Linked DNA regions of Arabidopsis thaliana. The protein of the gene in region 2 interacts with the protein of the main gene of each other region in a pairwise test. Each region holds a gene or a part of one and is shown on either strand. Other genes may lie near its edges. The genes, in order: LUL1 and AT3G56820.

Region 1 (3,858 bases), on a different chromosome or scaffold from region 2:
ACAACACTTCAGTAATGCTATCCTATGTCAAGAAACCCGGCGTCACCTTTGTTTACCATCCGGATTTGGCTGAGAACAACTCGACAGGGAAAAAGATAACTCCGCTTGAACAGCTAGAACCATTTCCAGAAGATGAGAGATTCGATTTCCTTGCTTGGTTTGAGGAAACTGCGAAATACGCAGACTTTGTAGTCCTTAAGATGAACACAAACCAAGTGGAAATGAAGTTCCTAACTGTTTTACTGGAAACAGGAGTCATATGCTACGTGGATGAGCTTTTCCTCCGCTGTTCCAACCACAAGTCAGACTGCATCAACATGCTTCAAACTCTGAGAGCCAGAGGTGTGTTTGTTCATCAATGGTGGGAAGACTAAACCAATGTAAAACTCAATCTCGCTTCGCCTTAGTCTTATCTACGTCGATTCGTGTCTGTCTTTGTCTCAGTTGTAATGCCATCACCTTCTGTGTTTGCCATAGTTGGTCCTCGGCCACCACAGCTCCTGGCCAAGCACCTATAACTAAATAAGAAGCTGCCTATCTGTTTATCATTGCTATTTAAGAACTCAGTTTCCACTTATAATATATTGAACCATAACGTTTTACGTCTTAATTAAGCATGGCATATATTACACAAGTCGATTGCTTAACTAAATTTGTTCATTCTCCATCTCCATTTCATCCGTTCTTGTTAATCTCCAAAAGCATCTCAACAGGTTGTCTGCAAACTGGGCACAGATTTGTCTGAAACCTTAACGCCTTTGCGCACCCGCTACACATACACTGCCAAACAGAAATACACAAACCATTTCAAAAGAAGTTCAATTTTTTTTTTATATGAGCTAATTTTAAGTATGATGAACACTATACCATGTGTCTGCAAGGAAGAACAGTTGTATCGCGTGGTTCAGACAAGCATACAACACATTCCTTTCCCTCATCGGAACCATCAACCGTGTTCTCAATCCCATAAATCTCAAGCAGCTCATACCTCCTCTTATTCACCCATAGTATCTGCTTCACCACTTCTATTTTAATCTCTCCTTTCTCCTTGGTATACACCACTTGAGTAATCTGCACATTGGTGGAACCAGACTTTCCTTCTTCCGCTGGAGTTGCCTCCGCCTTAACCGCCAACGGGAAGACATCTGTATCCACCTCCTTGAATAGCTCGGAATCTTTAAACGCCGTCAAGTCTATACCCGTTCCAGATGATTGTATGAACTTCTGACCAAGTCCTTCTCCGAAATCAAAAGTGATTGGAGGCAAAGTATCTTCCTTTGTAGCTCTAAGATTACATTCTGCATCTTCTGTAGCAAAGAAAACAACTGTGATCCTGTTCTCGCCAACCAAAACAACAAAAGCTAAGTCATTTATATTACTCCATTGATTGATTCAAACAAGATTCAAACTTTTAACTAAATTTGATCATTTCATAGTTTGAAAGTAAAACCTTCCGGGCATGGATGCATCAAATGTGAAGGAGACAAGAAGTCGATTCGGATTCTCCGGGTCGGGTATGAGCGTTAAAGTCTTCTTCTTCAGATTAACATCGTTACGAATCGTGACGGCTTTCTGGTGGACGTACGTAGGAGGCGGCAGTATAGGGTATCTACCGCCGTGAAACAAAGGATGAGGTAGTTGGTAACTGTTGGGAGGATAGTGATGCAAATGGTTGAAATTGTACGGTAGCATCGGCGGCTCAGTTACTGGCGGAGGAAGGCAGTTACCTGGATACTGGTCAACGTAGTTAGGGTTAGGGTTCAGATATGGTGGCACGGCGGCGAATACAAATCTGTTCGGTGGGAGTTCAAGAGGAGCCGTTTCCATCGCCGGAGGAATATTGCTCCTCTGCCTTCTCCCGCAGCAGAAGATCAAACTGATCAGATTCCCCATGATCGGAAAAAGAAAAAAGGTGAGGTTTTTCGGTGATTCAGTTGATAAGGAGTAGAATCGAAGTAGGTTTTATGATCATTGAGAAAGGGGAGTAATGAGATTGGAGATAGCGACGTCGACGAAGAAACACCAAAACGTTTATTTGTATATATTATAAATTAGTATTAAACTTGATTAATTACCATGGGAAATTGATTATTACTTTTAATCACATAAAACAAAGAAATCATTATCAGTAGCACTAGGCAGGCAATAGGCCCAAGGCCTCACAACAATATCACGGTTACAAAATAAGAAGAAACGAAATGACAAAACCGGAGACACGAGATTGGTTTTGGAGGTTGATCGGAAAACAAAGAAACACATCCATTAATACCGGCGATTACAAGAAGCACTGCTCGTCATTAAGAAACATCTTGCACTGATCGTCATTAAGAAACATCTTCTCTTATGTCTGATTATATAGGAGATCATAATAACGTCGATAAAAAAGAGTTTAAAGTGGAAATCAACCAAGAAATAGAAAGCACTATCAAGATATATTTCAAAATGAATATTTCATTAAAATGGATTAAAAAATAATTAAACACTCGAGTTTTGATCTTGTCTTGTTAAAATTTTACTCATCGTGTTCCTCATAAATTGTCCCCAGCGAAGGCGAAGCTGAAACCCTCATCGGATAAACAAGAATCGCCGGTACAGTTTCGAATGGTCCGATCATCCTAGCCATGATTTGTAAATATACTCTTTCTTCGATTTAGACTTCGGCAGCTTTCGACTGTGTTGAGAAGATCTATGTGGAAATTATTGTTATTGCTGATATTTATAGAGATAGAGAGGAATAGTAGTAGTGTAATTAACTAATCATCAAGTGATCTTTATATATTTGTATACTTTTTTATAGGACGCAGCTTAATACTTATCGCACGTGATATTTATGTTTCATATTTAGGTGATGCTCGAAAGTTGAAACATAAGTATGCGTACACTGCTTTAGTTTGCAGATAAATCATACATGTCTTTATTAAAAATTAATGTAAATTAGATTCTTTTGGTTGAGAAAATGATCGCACCAAACAGAAATAGCGGTGAGACTGGTTTCAGGTTTAAGTTTGGTTTGATATTTGAAGATACTGATTTTTTGTCGTGGACCGGTTATCGTCCCGGTTCGGTTAGAAAGTATATTAAGATTTGTCTTTAATTACCAACTCGTGAGCATATAACAACAGATCACCGAGCGTACAAGATGTGAAAGTTGAATGAAAATTTCACAAAGAACTGAGATTTGATTGTACAAAAGATACAATACAAAATCTCATCTTATACAGTTATAGAAAAAACAACAACAACAACAAGAGTCTATCTTAAACCCAAGACCGAGTAACAAAATGATCATTACAATTTACACGTCCTCGTTTTCTTGTTCTTGATTGTCTTCTTCGGTCTCTCCGCCTTCTAAAATCGTCTCAAGAATCGGAGAAACCGATGGCTTCGCCGGAGAAATGATTTGTGGAGGAACAGCCTCCATCCACCACGCCACATCCACCACCACCGTCAGATTCTGATCGCACCGATTATCAAAGAAACACATATTCGCTTCACTAGATATTATTTTAGATTTGCGGAAGTAATTCAAATTGTTACTTTTTGAGTTGAATTGATACGTGTTCATTTGTTCGTATTTATAGAGAGATTGACGCGTGGAGATATGTGGAACAATGATGGGTTTGACGTAAGAGTCGGACAAGTGGACGATCCACAATGTTTAAGTTAGTTTGTTGACTTGGTCTTATTTGCTAATAATAATGAAACCAACACGAATATTCTAGAACCTCTTGTTGTCGTCATTATCAACAAGTCTCGAATGTGCAACACGTGTGAGCTCTTGTCTCACACGTCTATATCTCCGCTAAGATTTTTTTTTGTTGTTGTCAATGTTAGGATATTTCTTTATGCGTCGTATAT
Region 2 (4,658 bases):
CCTCCTATCTGTTTTTGTTTTTCTCACCTCTTTCTTTTTCTCTCTATCTAAAACCTTAAATTCCCATTTAGTCAAAAGAAATTATTCATTTCAACGGTAAAATTATAATATTATACCCTTTTTGTGATTTAGGTCTCCATGCTTTATTTTTATTTTATTCTCCTTTTCACTTTTGTTTTACGTTTTTTTTTTTACTTTAAGGTTGGTCCATTTGCACATGGCAAATTCCAAAGCATTGACACTTTACTTATTAGCTATAGACATTATAATGTCATTTTTTGGCTAGACATTATAGTGTCTTTCATGTTTTGTTTCCTATTTTGAAGTTTAATTAGTGCTTACTGGCTTACAAAGTAAATTATCACTCAACTCTAGATAAACTTCAACTAGACCTTCGAATACAACATGATGGGGATTCCATTAACAAAATTAAGAACCCTAATCAAATACTAGGCATTTAGGAGTTTAGCACAAGGCTCTATGAGAAACAAAAGGGCATTATTAAGAGTGTTCTTTAAGATTCATGACCTTGTGCATGCTGGACAGAGAAAACTTTTAGAGCTTTTTTTATCAATCCTATAAGAATTAGATATTTTTTGTACGAGTAATTGTAATTGCATCATTAATGGCACTCTGTTTTGAGACCATAAATCATTTACACGTTTGAAGAAAACAATTTATGCTTTAATTTAACAATTTTCGGTAAGCAGAAAAACTAACACTGCTCACAAATTTTACATGTAGAGATATATTTCCATCTGTCAAATATAATTGTGATTGAAGTTTTTAAAATACATAAAACATTTTGATCATAAATAATAAGACTTCGTAATTGATTGATTACAGTGCTGAGTTGGCAAATTGCAATAAGATTTTTTTAGAAAGACATGCATTGCACATTCAGCTGTGAAGAAACAACAAACTCTACATACGAATTGATTCTCACTGATCAGACTAATCTTACCATCATATCAATGAACACAACATTGGAAGTTTCAGGTTTATAATCTCAGTAACAATATGACTGACCAGTCAAAACAAAGCCTACTCTATACAAATAAGGGCTCGAAAGAAAGAAAAGCCAATGAAAATTTGAATGAACAAGAGAAACTAAACTAACCCACTTTGGTTTATAGATCATTCCATACTTTGTAGTCGCTAGTTGAGCTGTTGTTCTGCATATGGTCTTGGCAGCCTATGAAGAAAGTAGAACGCACAGGATCTACATTTACTAGAGCATGAGCCGTGCCACTCTGACTAACAGCTACAGCTACCTCATCCTCTCCAATTAACACTTCGGCGTAACCTTTATCGACTTCGTGGTTTTCCAGCTGCATTCATATAGGTTTGTCCATAAACAATGTTTGATTGATGATTTTGGTTCATCTTGACCCGAGAGCAGTAAAGAAATGGAAAACCAGGGCACAATCATCACAGGAAAAAGGTTCAAACAAGTAAGATAAGCCCACTTAGTCACATTACTAAACATCTTAATGGAAGAAACTCGATTTTTCATTCTTAGACAGTGATTAGTGGTTCAGTGATCCGTGAGTAAATGACTGATGATATTAGTCCAATAGTCAAGAACATCTTTATGATAGATTCAGAAGTGATTTTCACCTTTATCTCAATAAAAAGAGTCCCAACGCAGAATCTAAGACAAAAAATCAGAAAACCACATCAAAGGAACTGAAATCTAGAGTTTGTCTAGACACCTTAAACACTCCCAAACCCTCAAACCAACCAAAGATAAGCCTGCTCCTGCAGCTGTTCAAACCTCTACTTACACACATCATGTCACACAGGTTTAGTTAAGTTGGCATAGCATTAGGAAAAACTCTGAACTCTCCTTTCCACCTTCTTTACCAAGAGTTATCACATACCATTCAATGAAGCATTGGATACTTAGATAAGCAAAAACAGAAATTCCTTTCTGTTAGAGGTGTTCAACAGACTATAACTCTTCCATTATGTTTCAATCAATGAGATGGATGATGAGACTTACCCTGAATTTTGTCTTGGCTCCCCATATGACAAACGTCTCATTACAGGTATGGTGTCTATGGTTTCCCCTCAATCCACCAGGCCGTATTTCACCAACATGAATGGAAACACACGATGCGGCTCCACCTTCAAACAAGTGAAAACATGAAATGTGAATCTCCAGTACCGAGAAAAGAGAAACTTAGGATTACACAATAGTCTCCTTCAAGGTTAGGCAGTCACTCCAAAGATTATCATTCCTAGAGTGACTAAAGACATAGATACTTTTCTCGATACATGCTTCCAAAATTATTTTAACCTCAATACATTATTAATCTCAGGAAGAAAATGAAAATGATAATTTAAGCTACAGATTTTCTCAGTTTCAATATACTCAAGAACCCTATACGAATTGCTGTTTATCAACTTCCTAATTAACATTCGTAAGAATTGATCAGAACCTTTGAGCTCAGAATCACGAGCAAGGATAACGGGATCAAGCAACCAACCACGGTCGTCTTTCCGAGCAGGAGAAAGCGACGCCAAACCGAACCGGACCAAATTAGCCTTATCGTCGTCGTCGTAAACTTTCAAATCGGGATGACTATTTACCGTCGATTTCGGATGTGAAGAGGACGAAGAGACGTGTGATTGTGAAGAGTGTTGTAACCTGAGGGAGATCCATGTGAGCAAGAGGAACAACGAGAGAAGCAGAGGAATCGCTTGAGGCTTCTTCAGTAGGTTGATTAAAGGTGACAATCTCTGGTTCTCGATCACTACTCTTCTAGGGTTTGCCATTTTCCAACTTTCTTTATCTTCCTCTGTTCATTTTGATTTGGTGTTAATTAATTAATTTTGTTTTATAGAGTTTGATTAATTAGAGAGACAAAATTTGACTGGTTAGCTGGCGGGTTGAGCCAGCCCTTGCAGTAGTGCAACGCATGGGCGACTCTTGAAAGCCCAGATAGCAAGCTATCTTAGTGGGCTTTCTCCCTTAAAAAATAGAGTTAATATCGTGTGGGCCGATGGCCCACATATCAGATATTAAACTGATAAGAACAGATACTACACTTGATCTTAGCCAAAAGGCCGAGAAAGGTATGAATTGGACAATGGGCTCAGCTTTCTTTATATATTACACATCTTATGACCAATGCTCTCTAACTTGTCGATGTGGGACGTTTAGAAAAATAGACTCTTTACGCATCTATAAGCAAACGCGAACATATCAATAAGAGACATTAGACATCTGGTTCAATATATGTCATGGGCTTAGCCATCTGGTTCTTGTCGGAGATTTTGACAACGTCGTCATGGTTTGAAACTATCTTGCTTCTGCCTCTGTGTGCTCTTTTGAGATCAATTGCAGCACTAGGAAAGACCATAAGAAATTGTGAGCTGGTGATACTTGAAGATCAGTGATCTGATCTGTGCGCACAGAGGAAAACTGGAATTTGATGAGTGTGTGTTAAAAAAAAAAGCTGGATCCTCCTAAAGAAGAAAGGTGGAAATTTTCGAAATTACTTCAAAAGTCTGAAAAGTGGAAGATGTTTCAGGGATCAACGTTTTTATAATTATCGATCTGCAGTTCAATGATGCTTCGACTGAGAATCATATACAAGGTATTAAAGACAAGTCTCGAGTATTGTTTGCTGGTGACTGGCCTTTGGTAGGTTCGAAGGTTTGGTCTATGTCTTCTACCTTGTGATTTGAAACGCTGAAACATAAGATTTGTCTTCATCGAACGTTAAAGTCTTCACAACCCTCATGTATTGGTTTCAGGCATAAAGGGGACACAGCTTTTCAAAAATTTGCTGACCACTCTCCATTCTTGAGCCAGGTTACGCTGCCTTTTCCGAGGTCCAAGCTAAAACCTGTGTCCAGTCAAAAGGGTTTTCACACTTTTCATTAACTGGAACCATCACAAGAGCGTAAAGACAAAAACTGATAAACTTTCTTTCATAAACTTCATACTTGAATGAGTCTAGGAACAGTCCCAGGGCGAGTCCAGTCTTCCAATAGTTAAACATGGTGATCGTGCTCCGCATCTTGTTGATTAATGGAATAGAAGCTCTGTACATTAAAGCTCCAATGCATTCAACTACAAGCACAGCCAATCCAGCAGATAGAACATCCCAGTCTCCTGTTTGTCCTATGAATGTAGAGAAAGCAGTTGCAGAGTAGAATCCCACCAAGAGAAAGAACAGTTTCTTGGGGAGATCTTTCTTTATCTCCTGAATTTTCACCAGAAGCTTACTTCTGAGAACTTGTATGGCTTTGATTAGCCGTAGACCTCTGGAGCTATTATTACTTGAAGAACCAGATGCTGGATCGAATCTGTCCCCACCAACCGAGCTTTTGATAGTTGTCCATGACATCCTCCTGAAAAATTGCAAAAGACCCACTTAAACTTGGACACTCGACAATGGATTCAACATAAGACCTTCTTTAAGACAGTAGCACATCTCACAACAATCGAGAAGTCTAAGCAAACTTGGAGGTCTAAGGATTTCACTTACTCCATATTAAGTCCGATAAAGCACAAAAAAAACATGATTTATATATCATTGCTTTGTATATATATGTAAGCATGGATTTTACTGGTTAGTATGGTCTCTGCCTTTATAGACAATATACAGAGATCTGCAAGAGATATTTCAGGTTTTGCCAAAATC

The links.
Region 1: the proteins of AT3G56820 (region 2) and LUL1 interact in a protein complementation assay, tested with the Arabidopsis thaliana proteins (one large-scale study listed by BioGRID).

Annotation. Positions count from the first base shown.
Region 1 is NC_003076.8:759,775-763,632, forward strand, and holds LUL1 (RING/U-box superfamily protein), read right to left. Parts: upstream 2,067-3,858; 5' UTR 1,894-2,066; coding exon 1,451-1,893; intron 1,334-1,450; coding exon 868-1,333; intron 781-867; coding exon 676-780; 3' UTR 545-675; downstream 1-544. Other genes in the region: CPUORF47 (peptide upstream protein), read left to right, coding at 1-374; AT5G03204 (uncharacterized protein), read right to left, coding at 2,513-2,623; DIP2 (E3 ubiquitin-protein ligase), read right to left, coding at 3,296-3,565. UniProt on the Arabidopsis thaliana protein: Acts as an E3 ubiquitin-protein ligase, or as part of E3 complex, which accepts ubiquitin from specific E2 ubiquitin-conjugating enzymes and then transfers it to substrates (in vitro).
Region 2 is NC_003074.8:21,038,931-21,043,588, forward strand, and holds AT3G56820 (RmlC-type cupin), read right to left. Parts: upstream 2,831-4,658; 5' UTR 2,782-2,830; coding exon 2,445-2,781; intron 2,131-2,444; coding exon 2,006-2,130; coding exon of another isoform or gene 1,976-2,005; exon of another isoform or gene 1,332-1,975; coding exon 1,131-1,331; 3' UTR 815-1,130; downstream 1-814. Other genes in the region: AT3G56830 (YCF20-like protein (DUF565)), read right to left, coding at 3,851-3,857, 3,958-4,365.